3 linked regions of the Astyanax mexicanus genome follow. The protein of the gene in region 3 interacts with the protein of the main gene of each other region in a pairwise test. Links are inferred from orthologs where the notes say so. Each region holds a gene or a part of one and is shown on either strand. Other genes may lie near its edges. The genes, in order: pak5, fas-binding factor 1 homolog and tubgcp4.

What was found.
Region 1: the proteins of tubgcp4 (region 3) and pak5 interact in a two-hybrid assay, tested with the Homo sapiens proteins (2 studies listed by BioGRID and IntAct). The two-hybrid records come from large-scale screens. The link is inferred for Astyanax mexicanus from reciprocal best matches to the Homo sapiens genes TUBGCP4 and PAK5.
Region 2: the proteins of tubgcp4 (region 3) and fas-binding factor 1 homolog interact in a two-hybrid assay, tested with the Homo sapiens proteins (2 studies listed by BioGRID and IntAct). The two-hybrid records come from large-scale screens. The link is inferred for Astyanax mexicanus from reciprocal best matches to the Homo sapiens genes TUBGCP4 and FBF1.

What each region holds. Positions count from the first base shown.
Region 1 is NC_064408.1:73,057,627-73,065,077, forward strand, and holds the start of pak5 (serine/threonine-protein kinase PAK 5), read right to left. Parts: upstream 3,005-7,451; 5' UTR 2,991-3,004; coding exon 2,885-2,990; intron 1-2,884.
Region 2 is NC_064410.1:17,740,326-17,748,373, forward strand, and holds the start of fas-binding factor 1 homolog, read left to right. Parts: upstream 1-5,028; 5' UTR 5,029-5,505; coding exon 5,506-5,508; intron 5,509-5,841; coding exon 5,842-5,875; intron 5,876-5,964; coding exon 5,965-6,009; intron 6,010-7,503; coding exon 7,504-7,561; intron 7,562-7,682; coding exon 7,683-7,746; intron 7,747-7,827; coding exon 7,828-7,878; intron 7,879-8,048. UniProt on the Homo sapiens protein: Keratin-binding protein required for epithelial cell polarization. Involved in apical junction complex (AJC) assembly via its interaction with PARD3. Required for ciliogenesis.
Region 3 is NC_064430.1:32,433,613-32,441,202, reverse strand, and holds the start of tubgcp4 (gamma-tubulin complex component 4), read left to right. Parts: upstream 1-4,523; 5' UTR 4,524-4,635; coding exon 4,636-4,713; intron 4,714-7,590. Other genes in the region: CDKN2A-interacting protein, read right to left, coding at 828-955, 1,619-1,857. UniProt on the Homo sapiens protein: Component of the gamma-tubulin ring complex (gTuRC) which mediates microtubule nucleation.

The sequences.
Region 1 (7,451 bases), on a different chromosome or scaffold from region 3:
ACACACTGGTAACCTCTTTATGTTACTTCACTAAACAAATCAATCTGGATTATTCTGAGCAACATAATTATTTCTGTTAGATCATGTGAGAAATTTGGTTCATCAAAATACCTACAATAACAAATCAGGAAATTCCAATATTGGTCAGCATGCTCACAATAAACAACACACTTAAAACATGTGATGTATTAAAGGCCTCATTTGCATACTGCATACTTGCAGTCTGCAGCAACATCTCCGCTGCAAAGGACAACACTGCAATAACAATGAAACTATACACTGTTTAGCCCAAGTACTACACAATTTCTCTCATGTGTTCAGTCAAGGCAGTTAACCCTTAAAGTAGGTTGATTTTTTTTATGATGATAACAAACCAGGCTCTGGAAACACAGTTGATGACGCTAAAGTTGGAAGCTCTAATCTGAATATGCCACATGCATACATTTGCACTGGAACAGAGTACAAGCACTCAGGGCTTCTCCACTATTAAAAAGGTTTAGCTGGACTGTTGCCATCAGGCTTCATAAACATCATATACATATCATCTCAGATCATGAGTGCACAGGGAAAGCCTTAACAAAGCCTTAACAATTTAGAAATCAATTATTAAATAGTACAAAAAAATATCAGCCAGTGATGAAAAGTGTGGGGTAATTTAATATGAATTATTTCCCACGTGTAGTTATTTAAAACAATTAAAGAAATCTTACAGAAATCACAGTAGTTCTGTCATTCAAAAAAAATATATATATATTTGCTCGAATGCTTATATTAAAATTTTGTCAGGCTGAATCACTATATGCATTTTTTTTAACTTCCATGCAGAATATGGAAACAATTCTACACTAAACATCTTATATACAGCAGACACTGAATACTGATAAAAAATTAAAACCAATATTAGCATATATCTAGATGACTGGCTCAGAGCGCATCTCCAAAACAGCAGGTCTTGTGTTCCAGATATGTAGTGTTTACTACAAAACATCTGGTAAACCACGTCACACTGCACACAGGAATGTAGCATAAATTGTTACCAAATATTGGTTCTAGCAGAAGTATGTGTTTCACAGTTAGTGGGTGTTCCCATGCTGACCCCTGTCCTCTGGAAACTCCAACACTGAGCACATGAGTTGCACATGAGTTCTGCTGGAAAACCCTGAGTTTGTAACATCCATGTGGATGTCAAAGCCCTTCATGGCAAACTGGCTCTTTCAGCCAGTAAAAAAATAGTTAAAAATGGTTCAGGAATAGTTTAAGGGACATTACAAAGAGATCAATTTGTTGACTTGTTGACTGCAAATTCCCCCAGATGGACTGGAAAAACAAGGCTGATCAATTGAGCCCCCAAGTAGATATTACAGAATTATATTAATTATCTGTCCGTGCACAAGTACAACCCAACAGTGGTTTTGATGGTATGGACAAAAATGGCAGAATACAGGCAAACTGCAGACTGTTTTTGTTATTATTTGAGATGCTTTTAACTGCGGTAGCTGTAAATCATGTCTGTTAATAGTGTTTAAAGGACAGCAGAATAGGTCTCTGTTACCACAAAACTAAAGAACTGGATAAGGTTTTAAAAAGAAATACACGATCCATTAAAGGCACACTATACAATATTTTTTTAGTTAATCAATTCATTTTATACTGTTTTAGATAATTAAATTAGTCATTACAGAGTGAACAAAAGTTGAGTAGCCCTCAGTTCAGTCTTGCTTTACATTAGAAACACGGGTACAAGATCTAGTCGTGTTTGCTAACCATAAAACTCACAGAATGAATAAGTCTGCCTAGACTAGCATTTACTGATGACCCTAGATTTAGATTAGATTTTTTATACTTGTATTTTACTTTCAACCCTTTTGCCAGTCTGTTGTGCTCAAAACAATCACGCATGGCTAGTCCACAGTGAACTTTTAGTCTATAGGGGGAATCTCTATACATCAACCAAATGATGTATAGTGTGCCTTTAAAAAATGTGGATTGAATTATTACGGCTGAAATTGTTACTGCACATCTAAAAGAAGCACAATTATTTTTTTTAAACCTTGCATAGTGTAAATGAACATACAAAATTGTGTCACTATTCAAATGCTTACAGACCTGGCTGGTAATTGTTCTCATACCTTACACATGTATCATCGACCCAAAATAACAGCTGATTGTGCACAGCACTGCTTTCCCAGCCCCTCTATCAGCGCCCTTATCTGTATTCTGCTGACTTGTCAATCACCTCACCTCATCTCCTACGCAATGCGGGCATGCCAAAAGCCCTTTCTTCCTTTGGCCTCATGCCCACACTAAGTGTTGCCAATGTGGCCTATTGCTGTTTATTTATCTGTCCATTTAAAGGGCCCTCTCCAAACATTGGCCAAAGCCAATAAAATCCAGAAAAAGCCAAAGAACAAAGTCTGGGTGAAACAACATAAACACAGTATACCAGAATAAGTACACACTTTTCACCCAGAGACCTGAAAGTGTCTTTAATCCAAGGTTACAGAGTAGATTATCAGCTAAGACTATCCCCCTCCCACTATGCGATTTACTTAATGGGCAGCTAAAGGAGTGAATGGGAGCTGAAAGAGTGTCATCTGGCCGGCTGGGTTTATTAGGACCAACGCCCTTTAGTCCTAATTTGTTGTTGGAGAGTTGAGCCTGCTCTAAATCATGTTTAATAACAGTGGGCAGCAGACTTTTTGCTATGTGATCATTTGCAGAGAGCAAACTGGTGATCACGTTAGCTACACTAGCCTAATAGCCCCAAATCAAAACTAAAGAATCGCACACTTGACTGAACGACTGCTTTAGGCAAATATTTCAGTATTCCACTGAGAAGACATTGACATATTTTGTACATGGCAAAATCTATGATCATATAGACCTGACTCAGTCTTCATCTTCAGTGCAGAAGCCTGGTCTCTGAAGCCCCAGTCCAAACACTGCGATGAGACGTGCTGTAGGAGCCCTGCTGTCATAATTCCTGACATCACAGCAAAATCCTGACATGACATCTCAATAAAAATCGACTCCGAAACTTGACAGTAAAGCTTGGCTGGACTCTGGACAATGGACGTCCAGACAAGCCCTTAATGTGCCGGGGTTTGCACTGCTTGTGCCACGGCTCCGCAAACGCGCCACGCTTAAGGGATTGGACGGGATTATGAGCAGAGGGATGAGAGTGAAGGGGCTGTCTGCAGTCATACTCCAAATGAAACCTATGACCTAGATGAGTATGGACGTCTTGGGAATGAGATTACACAGACTAGAGAGGGCTTAAGGCATCCTGGGCCAACAGTTAAAGGGGAAAAAAAGGAAATGCAGGGCACTGGGAGCCTTTTTTTCTCTGCTGTCAGTAAAAAGTCAACCACACGCAAACCCATCACTGAATCTAATTGCATACACCACTTACATTTGCAGGCTTTTAGGTAGAAAAGCGATTGAACTGCCATGCATGTTTTTGAATGAAATGTTAATCTAGAGGGTTGTGGAGGATTCCCTCAGTGGATGAGCTCATGGATATGCATAATGTAGGCTTTTCTTTTCTTGGTTGGTTCGTGCACTGGGAAGTCCAAAAGTTCTATTTTATAGACAGAAGAAGGAAATTCACTGAGAGTTAATACTGAAACCTCCTGTTTGTGTTGCAATCCTGCACCATGCACATTTCTGAGGAACAAAACCCTGCCTCTCTGAATGAAACACTGAATTAAGCCAAGGTTAAGACAGCAGGTGCCATAAGAAAGATTTTATTTGCTCGTCTGGTGGTTATTTTATGAGTCTATTCCCAGATCAAGGAGTAATGTCACACTGCAAAATTCATAGTTATATGCACTGACATTCCAAAAGTCATGGAATTGCACTATAAACACTGGCCAGCATGTTCTTTATACAAGCAAGTCCAAGCAAGCTCTACAAAGGTGTCAAAAGTATTGACATTTATTACTCGGGTAGAAGTTTAGATACTACAGTTTAAAATAATTCTGTAGAAGCTTAAGTATCAACTCAAGCTTTTTTCCCAAGCCATTACATGGCGGGCCACAAACAAAATCTGTTTTGGAAAATGAAATGTAATGGGGTGGAGTGCTACAGACTAGTAGTAATAAATAATAGAAGACATTACTGCCCACAGTGGACAGTGCAGTAGAGGCAATGATCGTGACAAGAAGTGTCTGGCTAAAACTGTCCATGTGAACAGTTCTCTGGCACAAATCACATCCACATTCAATGCAGTGGGTCCAACACACGTATCCCACAGATCAGTGCAGCACCCTTTAGCTTCCATAGGACAAGGAAAAAGTCATGGATCATGATGCTACTGACTGTGCCATGACTTTTGGTACATTAGTTTATAGGTCTCTAAGAATTGGACACTTCATACTGGTGATTATTAGTGTTGTCCATATCAACCGATAAAACATGCATCATATCAATGGAAACATTGTATATTCCATAAATCAGTGCTGTCTGGGTTGCCATGACAACAGAAATAACCTATGTAATTTTCTTTTTTTTTTGTAACTTTAATTAATATCAGCTCTAATGTCTCCTTAGGGCTTTGTGAGGAGCAGGCAGGATAGAATGGAGCCAATCAGAGGCTCTGATTCTCTGCTATATAATAAAGTGGAAAATTAATATTTAATTATCAATACAATTCTTAAGAACTTTAAAAAATTAAGAAAAAAATTTTACTGTCTGAGAGCTGAAAGGATTGGAACAAAAATCAATCACTATAAAATGATTATTGCAGGAAAAAAAACAGTTTAACTTAAAACTACAAAGAATGTGTATACAAAGAATGTGTATATACCTGTGAATATCTGTACTTTAAATATCGTCTTCTATTAAGATACTTCCATATTTTTGTAATAACACAAATATTTTCATACCTACCTATCGATATTAGCCAGTACTAGGCCCCAAAGCCAGGCCAGAGATAGAGGAGTTAATGTCCTCGTCCAGCATGTTCAGCAACAGCCATGGGTCTGAGATGTGGCACTGAAAGGGGGAACTAGGCACAGATCCTTAAGTTCTGTTTGTCCCTTGAACCATCTGTCGCCATCTGAGAGACGGCAGGCGTTTCCCGCTCAGAGCAGCACTGTGGCAGTGTGGGACAGAGCGGGTCTGGCCCTTCCCCAACAGCCCTGCTCACAGCACAGGCCCTGTGGCTATTTCAGGCTCCTGTACACATGTGCTGATAACTCTCAGGCCTCCAGGAGCAACTTTATAAGACCATTCCATTCCCTGTACATCCTCTAAAGTACGGGCCTTAGTGCGGCATTCAGCACACATAGCACTCTTAACTGAATAAAGAAATGCACAGACTGTGCAAGGAGAATTTTACTAAGACTGAGTACAGGACTAGTAAAAAAGGTACAATTAGTTTTTCCTGTTTTTTTTATTGTAATTTAGAACCAATTTTTTAAATCTGATTCAGGCCATGTGTTCTCTTCTGTACCACTGATATAACCCTGTGTTACCAAAGTAAATGATCATCAGATCACAATTCACAAGTTTTTTTTTTTTTTCGCACTTCATCGTGTGTGTGTGCTTATCACTGTTATCATCATCCAGTGTTGAAAGAATGCCAACAGTGGCTAGTGATAATGAGTGTGGGCATTTTAGGCCACAGGTCACACTAATGACAAATGTGAGTCACTTACAAACAAAAATAGAGGCAGCAGTATCTAAGCAAACGTCATTTTGACAAATTAGTGAGGGACATGAACAAAAAAAAAAAGATATTAAGATGTGGTTGTAAATGATTAATGTCATATGCAAGCATGGGAAAAATGTAATAACACAATTCCTGCTTGGCCTATAAGTCACAATAATTACATGATCAACTTGTCACACAATATTTGGTCATAACCTATATTTACCCTAGCAATAAATCATTTTATTCATTTTATTCTCACCTCAAAATTATCCATTATTTTTACTACATTTACACTCATTTATGTAAAGTATACAAGTACAAATACGAGTATACTCCAGCATACCAATATACTGACTTTCTTAGTTTTATTTATACAGAACAACTTCTCTCCTGTATAATTTCACAAGTCTGTTCAAACCTTAGAACTATAGTCACCCCCCTCAATAAGGGTTTTGTATTCAACTGGCAACCTACGACCACTTTTCAACGTGTTGCCTCATCGCTTCTACAGTGTGCATGTGCACAGCGACTCGCCCACAATGATCAAACAATTGTTTTGGTTACCTGTGCATAAAAGTATAGTGAGACACGTTTAACACCTGACAAAATATTGTACACTTTCAGTATGTACAATATACTCAATAATTAAAAGGTCGTTGCTCTTTAAAAGTAACTTGTAATTGCATTTTTTACAATTGTACCATTTTCACAATTATTTTTTGGAGAATTATGTGACAGGCTCTCTAGAAGAATTCCTAATAATCCTCTAGTTCACAATATAATAACATTGCTAAATGAACATCAAATGTCAAAGGTCACATGACTGAAATGAACGGACTAGCTGACCTGTGTGTGTTTGTGTGGTCATTCAAAGACACTTGAAAGCTCACCTTACAAAAGAATCAGAGAGGAAGACACTCTATTCCTGAAAGGCAATGCCAGTCTAAACTGAGTCTGACCCAAACAGGTGGTCATCTAAAGCGTGGTCTGACTGCCAAGTTACTAAATGCATGAATGAACACATGCATCATCTGCGTCATCACATCATGAATGACATTTAGTAAACAAACAATTGCAACTGCAAACTACAACTGTTCTCACCTGATTAGCCAACAATAATATTCTATATTTAAGCTAAAACTCTGTAATTCTGGGAAGAATAGCTGTTACAATAAATGATAGAGTAACCTGTCATCGTTGTGGTCTGAAAGCCTCATACACATCTTTTCACTGCTCTTAAGAACCTATTAACACCTTTAGTTTTAGCACTGTACAAGGTTTCTACACAACAACAACTACAATAAGCTCCACCACTGCATACAGTCTTACCTGGTATCAAATTCATTATTCCCTTTTGCCCAAACGACGGCTCCGGAAAGATCGCCACACTCGGCACAACATTAGCTTCCATAAAAGTGTCATCCAGCACATGTATGGAGAGAATGGCATTCCCGGGCCCTTCCTCAGCGGAGGTGCAGTGAGGGCCTCGCCCTGGGCTGCTCACCCATGCGCACTCTGAAAGCGCCCGACGTGAGATTGGGCCAAAAAAAGTGCCGACGGCAGCATCCCACTGCAGACAGGCTAAGCCCAGAGCTCCGGCACTTGGGGCAGTCGCCTCTCTGCCCGGCCCACACCATCATCCTGCTGCAGATGCCCGCTATCCTCACCCTCTGTTCCACTTCCTCTCACGCCCCGGGGCACACTGGCACCTTGTGTGCGTTTACACACGCGTTCGTACACACCGCATCAGGTTTGTGACCAGAGGCTGACACCGACACCAAGCGCGGACCCCAGC
Region 2 (8,048 bases), on a different chromosome or scaffold from region 3:
TCTGAATTAGCTACTGCAGTGTATACTGACAATAACGCAGCTACCTATGCTAACTCAACATTCCAACAAGATATTTAAAGCATATGTGGGGACAACACATAGCTTTCTAGCCAGACAACTTATATCCACTGCCTTTCAACAAAAAGGAGATGCATCTGTGGTTGAAGGAACTAAAACATCCATCCATCATGTTATGATGAGTGATGAGTAAAAAAGATGCATTGGGTGGCATGAGGCTGCAGGAGAAGATAACAGGTAAACCTTTCAAGCACCACTGACACCTTCACTTTACTAGAGATTTACAACCAAGAAATGTATCTGGGTTAGGATTTTCTGGTATTGGTTTCTCCTCTACAAAATGATAATAGCAGACATATGGATGTTCAGGTGAATGTTTTATATTTAGCTGCGTTAACTACAAATGCAGCTCCTCTTCTGTGGAAAGTGACGGATATAAGTTAAAGGCAGCTCCACAAAACTGGGATGATATTTTTTATTGATAGCAGATTAGGATAAATTTTAGAATAATTTCAATTGGATTCATTAATTAATAATAGGTAATAGTTCTTGTCATGTTTTTTAATTTGATTTGAAAAATCTTTATATTTTTTGTTCCTTGAAACATTTTGGAGATGCAGCTTTGAATCTGTAGATGCAGACTATAAATCAAAAGCTATTATAATTCATTACATAACATCCAATAATATTACAACCCACAATAATATTTCTTTGATTCCCCAGCCATGCAAAGGCTTCATTGTCAGATTAGCCTTTTTTGCTTTTTGGAAGCCAAGATGCTAATGAGATTTAAGAACATGTGAGAAAGGACAGGTGATTCTGTTGAATAAATGATTTTGTGATTGATTTTTTTGAATGTTGACTTTTTTGAATGAGTGTACAATATTCACAAGGAACTTGATTTACTATTAAATTAATAGAAATATACATTTAATTAAACTTAGATTTATGTTAGTATTAGACAACATTATTTAACAATATGTTAACTTTTTTGAGATATTGTATTTTTTGCACTATAAGGCGCACTTAAAATTCTTTAATATTCCCAAAAATCGTCAGTGCTCATTTTAATTTTGTGCGTTTTACTTTTAAAGAAAGTCTTTTTATCACGGTTTTGTTACTAGGTTAGCTTTACTTAGCTTAGTTAAGTTAGCTACCCCTCACCACCACCCAGCAGCATGGTGAGTGAGACGTAAGGTTTGTTAGTCACACATGAGGTTGTGATCAGTCACAGGCATTAAGTTAAAGGCCTGAAGGATGTGAGGGTCAGCAGTGCTTAAACCAGCTGCTACAGCCTGCAGCCGTTCACTGCAGGATCCCTACATTGTGATAGTAAAGAAAACTCCCATAGCTACATTTCTGAACTTCTTTTACAAATTTCAGCTAATCAGGTCGATATTTCTCTAGGTTTTCTGGGTGATGGGTCATAATGTGCCAAGGCTTTAAGGGGCTGGCACAATTTTAAACTAAAGTGCTATAGGGTACTCCTGCATCCCTGCTTCTTCAGTACCATGTGAAACAGTTTTCCCTTTTATTGGCAAAGTATCTCACTAGTATCAGTAACACTGGGCTAAACTGGGTCAATGCTAAGGATAACCCTGGATATAAAATACAGGACAATAAAGTGACATGTTAAAAAAAATCATACAAAATTAAAGAAGAAAAGGCAAAAGAACTTTAACATAACAGCTCTAAAAAAAAAGCTCTAAAGCTGTGCTCTAAAGTGTCTCAAACTGGGATAAGCAAACTAAACTGCATCTAAGAAACAGAGCACCACACTTCCCTGCACTTAACCACTAAACAAATATGTGTAAACATAAAACTAAAAGCTAAACTATGCTAAGATAACCAATATACAGTACATAGCATGGAAGCGGCTAATTAAAAACCATATGTTTTTCCCAAAAATAGGGATTGATTGAGTCCATGTACTGTGGAAAAATATTGTTTCTAAATGAAAATAAAGTCAATCTTTAGAAAAGCTGCAACAGTTTTAACATAACCATCTTAATCATATTGGATTTATTTTAACATTAAAATCAAATAAACATAACATAACATAAATAGATCTCTACTGGTATTTTAATCTCAGTGTCTTCATGAGGTAGAGTCACCTGGAATAGTTCCTGGTGGTGCTGAACAATATTTGCTGCTTTTCCTTTACGCTGTGAAGCTCCAGCTCATCCCAAATCTCATCTGATCAGGTTTAGATCAGGAGATCGTAGAGGACAAACAATTTTAATGTTACGTAATTCCATATGTGTCCCTAATTGTTTTCATTTAGAATTAATCTACAATGTATAAACAAATTAAATAAAAAAAAAAAAACCTTTGAATTAGAAGGTTTGTACAAAAATTTACCTGGACCTGGAACACAGTCACAAACATACAAAAAAAATAAAGTTTTGCGCATAACAACATTAAATCATTGTCAAACCAGTACACAGTACACAGTTTTGAAAAGGTTTTATAATAAAGTAGTATAGTTATCTAAATTTTTAACTGGAACACTGTCAATTATGATGTAACTTATTTCCCAGCTCTGATATCAGACTTTCGAGTTAAATGGAAAACAGTATGAGCGTTCTCATATCTGCTCATATCTCGCCACTCTCACAACCTGGCATGAAAAGCATTTATAGCTGGAGGGAGGTCCTTTAACCCCTGTGACCCCTGGAGACGTGCAACTGCCACGCATTCCAAGATTCCATCAGGCCTGTCTGTGCAGTTCTAATGCAGATGGCTAGGCTGCTTTGTGTTCGTTTGAGACTGTCCTTAGCCCTTTAAGACATGATGGTTACTGTAAGAATCTTTAGAGTTTTTAAATCATGTCTGGGTGAACATTTTTTGGATTATTTGATGATAATTTTGAGCACATAAACCAACCTCCATAGCAGCGTTCACCAGTATAGTCTATGTTTTCTTCTGAATAAGCAGCTTTTACAACACCATGACCATCAAGACCAGTTTGTACCAATAAAACCAGCTACCAACTGGTTTTGAGCTGGACTGTCAGCAGGTAAACTGGGTACACAGATTTCTAGAAGAATAACAAGTTTTGCCTTTTCTGTTGAGGGCTGAATAAGAATAACTGTGCTGCCGTCGCCCCCTGGTGGTCCCAGCAAACAGTGCCAAATATAAATCAGTAATTTAACAGATTTCAAATTAATGCTAAACATTTAACATTAACTTCAATTAATTGTCTTTCCAATCTGACGTTAATTCCTCATCACTTTTGCACACTCAATTCATATTACATTTACATCATTTATCTGACGCTCTTAACCAGAGACTTACAAGGTTATTCCTATTACAGAGGTGAGCCAATGTAGTGTTACGAGTCTTGCCCAAGGACTCTTACTGGTTGGTGTATTAGGAACTACTGGTGTACCAGGAATTAAACCACAGTCTCCCACATTATGTGATAGCTCATAAGCAGATGGTGGTGTTATGCACTGCAACCACATATTTCAAAACATGTTGATTGTAGTCCTGTAATCCATAATTTTGTTTATATATTTTTCAATTAAAAAAAATGAAATAATATTGACATTTTTAGAAAAATAAATCAACATAAAACAAACTATGTTAGAAATTTTAAACATAAAAAATGTATTACTGCATAAGAAAATTGTAAATCACTCCTGCTTTATGTACAACAGGAATTATTTTATGAAAAACAGAATAACAGAATAGCTAAACAATAAAGAAAATAGAATTTTAAAATGTGACCATTTTACTTTTGGTACTCATTTCATGAAATAAAGTAGGTAACTATAAATGCAAATAAATATATCTGTGTAATTAAATAAACAAATAAATGTTTTTTTAATAAACCCTTATTTATTTTACCATTCACACTTTGACATAAAAGTCTGATAAAATTAGATAATTAAATACATCATAGCATGACTTAATGTTACATCAATGACTTAATCTTACTAGCTACATGTTTAAATACTGAAGACAGGCAAGTGTAACATTTGTCAGTTCAGTTTTCTGACCACTTGAGGCTAAATTTGAAAATAGAAAATTGTGTTTTTGTTTGTTTTTCCAGTTTTTACTGTTTCCATTACTGCCTAAAAATTAAAAAATTGAAGTGAAATTTTCGCATTTATCCTCAAAACGTCAGAAAGCTAAACTGATAAACAATAATAATAATTTACGAATTGATTATAACCCCTGTTGTAGCGGGAAATGACTGTGAACCGCTAGAGGGAGCCCACAAGTTAGCCCTCAATGAGTACTGCAGCTCTGAACATAATTATTGACCACAGAATTTAATAGAGGCGATATTTTAAAAAGCTCATTCACATTCAAGCCATAGAAAAAATTCAGCTTAGACACGAAACCCCAAATATGGGCATACAAGGACTAGAGAATGACATGACTGCAGTGGTGTATGGAGGTGAATGGAGATAATTATTTGAAACTCAAACTAAAAATAGTATACTATCTACTTGCCCAGGGTATATATTCCTTAAAAAACGTACCCGTATGTTTACTTCTTTTTTACAGTATGTTTTAGGCAGTAAAGGAACTGTATTACTGCTACTGTGAGCTGATGGAATTACAGCGAGAGTGCGTTTTAAAGCTTTATAGCTGGCATTTGAAAGCTGTATTTGAATGTCTGATGTTGTTTAGTGATGAGAAAACGAGTAAACTCTTCAGTATAACAATGATTCAAACTGTACAAACTCAAAAGGGCCTATTAGTTGGGTATTCTCAGAGAGAGAGAGAGAGAGAGAGAGAGGAGAATAATCCTCAGATCTATTTAACTGTTACAGTGATGGAGACATAATTTTTAAAGATTTTAAACTTTAGTTATAGGGCTTTTAAATATGCTCTGACTGTATCTCCAGCATCAACTCACCAACCAATCAGTGCCTAAAAATATAGGGGTATGGTTTATTTGCTTCTTTTAGCGAAATAGATTATTCTAATATCTAAAACTAAAGGAATATATTTGACAGGTGATTAAACTGACTCCGAACTACATTACCCACAATTCAACACAGGAAACACATAGCACGTAGCACAAAACACAGGGTTTAAAAGTGTAGTAGAGGACAGCAGTCTGTAATCGGCTGCAGGACCGGCGATTTTGGGATAAAATTAAGCAAGTTCGTAGCTGCTTCCTTTAGCATGACCAGTAACGACTAGGTTCAGTTAACTTGAAACTACCTAACCTAGCCTAGCCTAGCTTAGCCTAGCTGACTAACTGACGCTAGGTAGCGTTAGCTAATGAACTAATGAGCTAACCAGGTGTATTATAGTGGAAGAATAGAGGCGGACAGGGGAGCAGAAGCCTGATATCTTCAGTCATTTTGATTTATGGAGAGAAGAGGTGGCGATAAAGCGGGATAAATAATTATAGAAGAGCGGAAATGTGGGTTTAGCCGGACATGCTGTTGCCAATGGCGACATGGACGCTCAGGCTGCTCTGATTTACTCTCTGCGGGCTGAGCTGAACACTGCAGGGAGGAGATGGTAAGAGTCTCACAGCCTCTGTTTACTGCACAGATTCACTGCATATCCTCCACCGACAGACAGCTAGCAGTGTAACCTGGCCCTCCTGAGCTACCTGAGATCATGATATAGATAGATTATGATTATGGATAGGTCAGGATATAGATAGACTCATATAGAGACAGATATAGGGATACAGTAGCCTGGAAGGACTAAGTTACTGATCTTTGATTAAGAAATAACAATAAATGTCAACATTTTATTATACAAAAATATGTATATAATAGTAAGTATTAGTATGAAGGATAAAGCATCATATTAACTATAAACTTCTCTTTCTTTTAACCACTGCAGAGTTTAAAGCAGCAGAAGAAGAAGGGGCTGAGGGGTAAGTGCTTCAACTGTAGGACCACATACACAACCTGTTACAGCCATCATACTGTGTTCATACTGAGTCCAGACTTCACCTTGCTTTAGGGTCAGTTGATGACGTGTTGGGGGATCTCTTGGGAGACAGTGATGGTAAGATTCCTGTGTGTTATTTGTATAACTTTTGCATAAAATGTAAAAAGAACTTCTGTTTATCCCTGTGATTCCAAATGTAGAAGGGGGAAAATATATTTAGATTTTTTAAAATATAAATCAAGTGTTGTGGTGGTAACAAACATATTGGAAAGACTATTTTGTTTTTAACTAATTTTACTTACATTTTACAATATGTGCACTTCAGTGCACAACAGGACTTCGGTAATCACAAATGTGAACATTGACAAAATTCAAGAGCAGATTATGAAAACTGAAAGCTCGACAGAATTCGTTGTAATGCCCTCAAACAATTCTGCTGATGATTTGGGTTTAATATTAAGAGAAGAATATGAGATAAAAGATCAACATTTTAGCTTTTATTTCCAGGTATTTACATCTGGGTCTGATACACAGTTGACAGAAACATTGTGCATGCTGTAAAGAAAGGGACAAAAACAACTGTTTGTGACAGGAGGGCAGGAGGGAAGCTATAACAGTCTTCATGAACAAAAGTACAGAGGCTTTACCAGATATGAAAACCACTAATTAACAATAAGAATAGGAAAGCCAGGCTGGAATTTGCCAAGAAGTACAGAGAGAAGTCTATGGACTGATTATAGACTGATGACACAAACATTATCCTTTACAAAGGTGATGGAAAGGCTAAATTTTGGAGTAAAAAACTTATTAGTGAAACACAGGGGTGAATATCTCATGGCTTGGGCTTGCATGGCTTCTTCTGGGATTGGGGGGATTAATCTTCATTTGATGTAAAGGGTACTCAGAAGTCTACTTTTTTTTTTTTTGTCAAATTAAAGAAAGATTTAACTAAACGAATTGGGAGATCCTTCATCACGCAGCAAGATAATGACCCAAAACACACTGCCTGCAAGAGCATCACAAAAGAAGAATGCAAATGTTTAGGTAATGTCATTGGGTCACCGTTTTGATGCAGTTATTAGAAAAGTTAGAAGAGTGGCACAAAATTTAATTCCCGGGTCTCAGGTGGATAAGCTAAAATAATAAGAAATAGTACAACAAAACTCCAGAAATACTCAACGCAAAAGTTTGTCCTAAAAGCTGAGAGGTCAGCCTCCTTTAATCACATAGGATATCAATAACATTGTCCAACCTTTCAGCAACTGACAGCTGCATACCTTCTTCCTATCATAATTTGTCAGATTGTCTCAGATTCTTTCTCTTCTCCATTTTCTTGCTTCAACACATCGACAGTCACTGCCTAATATATACCACCATTTTTACAGGTTTGCTACTGAAAGCAGGAAAATGTGTTTTTTTATGTTGTGTTATGTTTCATGTTGTCAGTGTAAATAAATGTTAGTACATTGCAATGTCAGATTCCCTGTGTCAGTGCATCCTTGTAGTGTACATTTGTGCTTAATTTTGTGAAAAACTAAAACCCTTTTCATTTTAATCTGCACTGAACTTCAGTAAAAAAATGTATCTGAAAAAGTGCTTTTTGCCCTCTAGATCCTCCCAAGAAGACCAGATCTCCCGCTGGAGTCCTACCATCACGCAGCAGCAAGAGGTGAAAATATATATTTCTAATTTTAATAAAATAAAGTTATACATACCTTCAAATACACATACTTTCGAAATTATCTATATACTTAAACTGATCTGTCAGGTCTATTATCTGCTGAAAACAGGTCTCTGCTGGATGATGATGATTTCTTCAGTAAATTGGCGGAGGAGGCGGAGAAAGATGATGAGGTGAGAGAGTGGTATTATTTTTTTAAGTGGCTTAAGGAAGGTAATTAAGAGAGATAAATAGTGACTTGTGTTGTTTTGCAGGGTTCTGATGTGTCTGAGGCAGATCCAAAGGCTTTGTTGGAGAGTATGAAGGTGGTCGTCTGTTTACTTTTTAAAGTTATACTTCAGAATTAAATGTGCCTTAAATGTGCTAGCTCTGAAATGATTAACCATAGAATATAATGATATTTTAGTAATTTCCAATTACTTTTAGCAATTTTTCCATGTATTATTATTATTATTATTATCATTATTATTATTAT
Region 3 (7,590 bases):
CATATTGATTATGTAGCAAAAAGGAAATAATATGATATCACGATAACAGTATTTTTGGCCATTGCTCACCATGATTAACACCCCCCCCCCCACACACACACACACACACAAACAACAAAAAACATACTGTATTTATTTAAATTAAAATCCTTTCATTTTCCCAAAAATTGGCAGTGTGCTTTATGTATAAATTTTACCAGTCAGGTATTAAGGAGCAGTAAAGCCACTCCACTGAAGTGCAGCACTATAAGCATTAGCATTAACCGCTAACCTCAGCACTAGCTCTTTTACCGTTCAGAGGTGAGTATATTGGACTGTATTCTGTGTGTTTGCCGTGTTAAAACAAGCTATGTGAGATGAACCGCAAGCTAATAGCATCATGGGTTACCGGAACACTCAGGGTTCTAGCGCTGCGGTTAGCTGCCAATGCTAATGCTGCTGCACTCAGCCTTAGTGCTGGAGAATCTTCACTGAAAACTCATCCTTACACAAAATATTGGAAATCTAAGCTTACTGCAAATGAACAAAAGCACTTTACTCACCCAAATATAAGGTATTCAGGGTAACATTTTTCTTATTTTTTTTTTTAAGGCGGTTTTGTTAACTGCGCTTCCCCAGCTTCCCCATTAGAAGGGAAACATGCACCCTTGCTCACTTTGATGTAGGCATCCCTACTAGGGTCGCTTAGTGTGCCTTATGATCCAATGCGCCTTATGGTCCAAAAAATACGGTATAAAGGTGTAGGCATCCTTAAGCCGTCCCCTTTTTACGATTAGTTTGCACAGTGCGGTCCCATGACTGTATACAGGCCACACTGTCTGTCTCACCTGAAGTTAAAGGTCTTTTCCCCTTCCCTACGATTTCACCTCTCGTCTTGTGAACACAAACATCAGCTTCGTTCACAGTGATCCCCTCTGCCATCTCATTCACCTTGTTCACCACAGGCTGGGGGTATCTACAACAAAAGCACATGTTTAAAACAACAGCACTGTGTAGCTAATGCACTTTAGCAGATAATAAGGGTGTAAGAAAATATCAATACCATTTCACACTATATTGTTTGCGATTACTTTCAAAAACACAGACTTGAATATTAATAAGTGGTTTAGGTGTAAAGTTTGGTGTCACACAGTAGTTAATTTAAACCGGATCTGATTGAATGAAAAATTAACTATTCTTATTCATGTTTTATTTTATAATAACAATGTTTTCATTCTATATGATTTTTTCCTTATATTTGATTTAATCTAATCATTTAATCACAATGTCACTTTGTTTAGAGTGCGGCAATATATTGTGATGTATTGAATCGTGATCCCTGTGATCTGCTATCTGTGCCATGTTATCTATTTCTGCTTCTTGTAGGTACAGCTGCTAATCCTACCTTTCTTCATCATTTCAAAATGATAGAAACAGCTGAATGAGGGATTATAAATTACCTCAAATTGTCTAGAAGACATTTACATACAAAATGTTCTGGTATTTAGTGAGTAAATATGTAATCTGTTGTGTTTTGTCCCTTATGGAGACCAAGTTGAGTGTAAACTGTATGAGTGAGTTCATTAACCCCCTCCCTTTGTGTTTCTATAAAGATTGCATACAAGGACAGAATGCTTACCGACAGCCTAGGAACACAGAGTTGGCCCAAACCTTGGACAGAGAGAGGAGTTTATCGAGGCTAGGGCTCATGGTGCCCGGCTGGAGGTTTGGAAACGTCTCCAAGTTGCGAAGGACAAATTCACGCCTGGCGAGCCACTGCTTACTGGTCTCATTGTGCTCTTTTAAAGACTCCACCCATTGTGCCAGGTGCGGGTTTTGACTAAGGAACTCAGAAACATCTCCATTCCCTTCTGCCATCCCTAAAAAAGTGGGTAAAGAATACTTTAGTTAAAGCACAAAATGACTGTCAACTTATTATTATTATTTTTTTTATCTACTCTTTCTCTCACACCCACAACTATATACACACAAACACAGCCAGTCCTTCTCTCTTTCTCAAAAGCCCATTTCCTCTTTCCAGGTTGTTACATGTGGAATATAGAGCTACCAGCAATTAATTCTTATAATTAATTACTGTTTTGATCAATACAGATTTTGTTTTTAATAACACCACTTACATAAGTATAATTTTATTTTGCAAATCTATAAATGCTTCTTTTGTTTACATTTAATTAACTATTTAAAAAATAGTCTTTAAAAAAAGAAAAGGCGAAATTCATCATGCTTAAACAGAATATTTTTTTTAATCGTGTAACACCACTAATCATAACATAAAAAAAACGAATGAAGCATAAAGGAAAACACCAATCATTCCATCAATTAGTTCTAAACTGTGTTTTGACCTGTTGGTATTTTTGCTATAACGATACTTTTGCCGATATGACAAAACATTGATATTAAAATAAAAATTCAAAAATACATTACTGCAACAAAAAGAAAATAACATTTTATTATTGCATATGATATTACATAGAACACCCCTAACTGAGATATTAAATAATACACAAATTTTATCAGGTTTGTAACAGAAATCAATGATCCAGAATGTGATGATACTAATAATACACTCCATATATCTCCATATATCCAGGATTAAAGTAAAATAAATGATACTGGACAGATGTAATCTTTGTCTAGTATATATACAATTGAAAATGAGAACAGTGTGATATTTTCTGTCTTAAAAATAGTAATAAACTAGTACCCTGATGTGATATTTATGGGTGGGTGATATGGCACCATATTTCAGGGTCTTATATAGTTCACGATATTCAAAAATGTTGGCGATATTATTTTGTTCAATGCAATACAGCACACCTCTAATCTGATATATTTTGGATGATCAATTGTTTGAGATAATTATTGAGATAAACAATACTATTGACAGTTTTAGAGACAAATTATGTCATTAATAAAATAATATAAGATAATCCATCTCGTCTCTTGTAAAGAATAGTTAACAGGCAAATATTCATACATTGGGATGTGAATACTGATAAAAACACAGTTTAAACAAAGCTGATATATTGACTCAGTCATGTTAACACAAGGGGTAAAAGAAAGTTCAGCAAGAACTGGATTTACTGTAGATCCATTTTTAACTTATTTAAAAGAAAAGTCATGTTTTAAAAATGCGAAGACATTAAAGCTATAATAAACAAAGATACTGGAATCTGTTTCTGCAGTGTATCTGTACATTATCTGTAATATCCAGGTAAAACTGTCCGTGTAATTCACTCAGCACTGCTGACAGAACAGCCGGGTAAAGTAATCTGTAAACATGAAGCTCAGCTTCCTGTTGCTCCCATTAAACCAGCTGTGATTAATAACGTTACCTATATGACTGTCTCCCCCCCACTCCCCCCCCCCCCCCACACACAGTTATTCAGGTCCAGATTACAGACAGATAGATTAGTTTATTTTAGTTAGCTAACTGAGTTCCCTACAGTTTAAACCGCTTTAACCATCTTTAACCATCTGCCTCCATCTGTCCAGCTGTAAAAACTGTAAAAACACAGCGAAGCTAAATAAGCGCCCAGACAGATAAATACAGTAAACTATACACATATATTAATTACAGCCCATAATACCACATCAGCAGCTGCTGGTCCCCTTTATTCTCAGTACAGCGCGTTAGCAGCGGCAGGCTAGGCTATCTGTTCGCCAGTGTGTGTGATTAGAGGCGCCTGTGATTACTATATTATATACAGCGCTGAGCTGAGAGTAAAACCAGCAGCAGTAGGTTATCCGAGTCCGGAAAAGCAGAAGGTAAAACCAGAACCTTTAGAGAGCCTCTTTTCGTCGAGTCCACATAACAGGTGAGGATTAAGTACCAGCCAAAACAATATTAAGGAAACCTGGAGCTACAGGACTACATTTCCCATGTTTCGCTTGAGCCAAAGGACTACATTTCCCGTATTTATAAAAAACTTTGTTTTTAATGTTTTAAATGTTTATCTTTTATGAATTCTAATTATAACTTTGACCTCATATTTAATGCATATTTGACCATTTTAAATAAAAAAAACATACAAAATAGAATAGATCCTAAGATATTTTGCAAAAATGTATTCTTTTAAATATAGATTGCATTTCTGCCAAAAAAAAAAAATCTGTAAAGAAAATGAGGAAGCCTTTCGAGTTTTTATTTCTATGTAAGTGTTGTACTGTCGTAAAATTAATTATTTCTGCACAACATATAAGAATAATAAGAATAAAATAAGAATTAAAAAAAATCTAATTTCGAGCTTCCCACTTGTAAATACAACTCGTTGTTCCAGTGCAATTTCATTTTTTTTACTAATAGTTCTTTCCTATTTGCAGCACTGCTCAAACGCAGCATAACCTGCTTTGATCTAACATTAAAAACGGGTTATTATTAAATATGTGTTTTTGCAAAAGCAAAAAGGGACGAACTCCTAGCTACGTTGAGCTAAAATACTACAATTCCCTAGTTATGATGAGCTAAATGACTACATTTCCCTAGCTGCGTTGGGCAGAAGGACTACATTTCCCGGCGCCGGGAGGCTGTTTTGGCGGTGTTGGTGTTAGCTGCTTTAGCTCGCGCTGGTTTAAGTTAATGGATGCAGTGGAGTAACCGGTTATTACTGTAAATATTAATAATCACCTGTAACCATGATCCACGAGCTTCTGCTCGCTTTAAGTGGATATCCCGGCACTGTTTTTACATGGAATAAGAGGAATGGATTACAGGTAACGAGATGTGCATGAGATAACTTACCCGTTAACCAGTACTCTGTGTTATTAAATATTACTCTATAGTAAGCTGCTGTAGATAAATATTAATTTAGTCCAGTGTGATATTTGTGTCCTAATTCACAGCTGTGTGGAAACCCTTAGTGTAGAAGAGATCGATCATCTCATTCATTCATCATACTGAATATAATTATTGATCATATTCAACTAGTTATTCAGATATAATCACTAAAAACTATGAAATATTGGTAATAACAGTAATTGTTGCACTGTTGTCTGCTGTTTATAGTGCACAGACCAGGCCACACTGACTTCTTCTATACACTGCACTTAAAGTCAAGTCAAGTAGTTTTATTGTCAATACTGCATATGTACAGGTACATACTCTCCTTCCCAAAGTTACAACAAGTAAAGCAAATATATTCATATACAAATATGAATCATAAAAGAATGAGAGATACTAAATGCACAATATAACAAGGTCACATATATAGACATACGTGAGACAAGAGACAATAGTGCAACAGTGATGGGGGATTAAAGAGGGAATTATCGTACTGTTGTAAACAGAACCCATATAACAGTAATGCAACTATAGAGGTATAAAGCTAAAGGCTCAGAAAGTAAAACGAGTGCATAATAGTTCCAGTACTAAGTTTCAGTACTGTGTTAAATCCTGCATTAAGTTCAGTAGTGTGTTGGTACTATTCATTCACTTACATTCACATTACTACATCTTTTGGATTTATGTTTGGCGGTGTTTCTCAAAACACTACAGTATTAGTCATTTTAGTAATATATGTGTAGAAAGATAGATCATTAAATTGATCCCAAAGGAAATTAGGGCATCCAGTAGCTTAAACAACACATTGTACAGTCATAAACACACAGGAAGTATAGATATATAAAACTTTGGTAGAACAGTGCAGTAAATCAATCAGCCAATAAATAATCCATACAGCAAAAGTGGAAGTTGCAGATGACACTGTATTTGGAATAAAGTTACTAGGTGTGCTAATATACATGTAACAAAATGTATATTAATCATGTGCATGTACCCATAGGTGCATATACTTAACACGGGTGGATTTTACCAACACGCAAAGCAAAAACGAAAAAAATATATATATATTTTTTGTACATGCAAGTTTAGCTAGGCGAGGTAGACTAAGGTAGCTTCGGCACAACCATAAATTGGTCTTATCCCATTGGTGCCCAAAAAAAGAAAGAAAATTAAGCAAAGGAAGTCCAGCACAGAAAGCTTAACAAAGCTCACCAATTTTTTTCACAGCAGCAAGAAAAGAATCGTCTGGTGAGGATGAGGCACCAGAGACAGCTAGGTCGTCAGAGTCAATATTGCATTTTGCTATACAAAAGAATCCATTTGATCAGGGCCCCCGGAAAAAAAACATTGCTTGTGGCCCCAGAACTTCCAAATCCGCCCCTGATCATCCATACCTGTGGGTGACTGACCCAGTCTGTCTGTTGAGCAGGAGTCTGACACTGAGTACACTCCTCTGCTTCATTAAGATGGTGTGCCGTGAGTCACTATCATCGCCTGTGATAGAAAACGAAGTGTTTTCTTACAAAGTTTAAATTGTAGCTCCTAAGATAAAGAAGCATGGCTGTTTGCTCTCCATATGTACAGACATGGACAAAATTGTTGGTACCCTCAGTTAATAAAAGAAAAACACACAATGGTCACAGAAAATTTGAATCTGATAGAAGTAATAATAATTAAAATGTTATGAAAATGAACAAACGAAGGTCAGACATTGTTTGCAACCATGCTTCAACAGATTTATTTAAAAACAAATAAGCTCATAAAACAGGCTGGACAGAAATTATAATACCTTTAACTTAATATTTGCTTGCACAACCATTTAAGGCAATCACTGCAATCAATTGATTCCTAAGACTTCTGCACCTCTCAGCAGGTATTTCATGAACAAACTGCTTCAGTTTTCTCAGGTTTGAAGGGTGTTTTTTCTAGACAGCCTGTTTCAGCTTCTTTCAAAGATGCTCAGTTTAGGTCAGGGTTAATAGAAAGCCACTTCAGAATAGTCGAATGTTTTCCTCTTAGCCATTCTTTGGTGTTTTTAAGCTGTGTTTTGGGCTAATATCTGGTTGCAAGGCCCATGACCTGCGACTGAGACCAAGCTTTCTGAGCAACACATTTCTCTCTAGAATCCTTTAATAGTCTTAAGATTTCATTGTACCCTGCACAGATTCAAGGCACCCTGTGCCAGATGCAGTAAAGCAGCCTCCACCATGTTTCACAGTAGGGACAGTGTTCTTTTCTTCATATGCTACATTTTTCTGTCTGTATTCTGTCTGTCTTCCATTTTTCAGTCCATATGACATTCCCCTAGAAGCTTTTTGGCTTGTCAACATGTAGTGTGGCAAATTCCAGTCTGGCTTTTTTTATGTTTTGTTTTCAGCAATGACGTCTCCTTGGTTGTTTCCCGATCTGACACTGACTGTTTCCTGAGCTTAAAGTTCACCTTTAATCTCTTTACTGTTTTTTCTTGACTCTTTTATTACCATTCGTATTATCTGTCATCAGTTGTCATCAATTATCCTCCTGCCGCCATGTCCAGGGAGGTTGGCTACAGTCCCATGGATCTTAAATTTCTGAATAATATAAGTAACTGTAGTCACTGGAACTTCTAGCTGCTTGGAGATGGTCTTAAACCCTTTACCTTTAACATGCTTGTTTTTACTTTTCCTTCTAATCTCCTGAGACAGCTCATGTCGTCAAACAGCGCAGTGACTACCTGTAGCCCTGTATATAGGCCCACTGACTGATTACAATATTGTAAGACACCTGTGATGCTAATTAGTGGACACACCTTTGATTTAACTTGTCCCTGT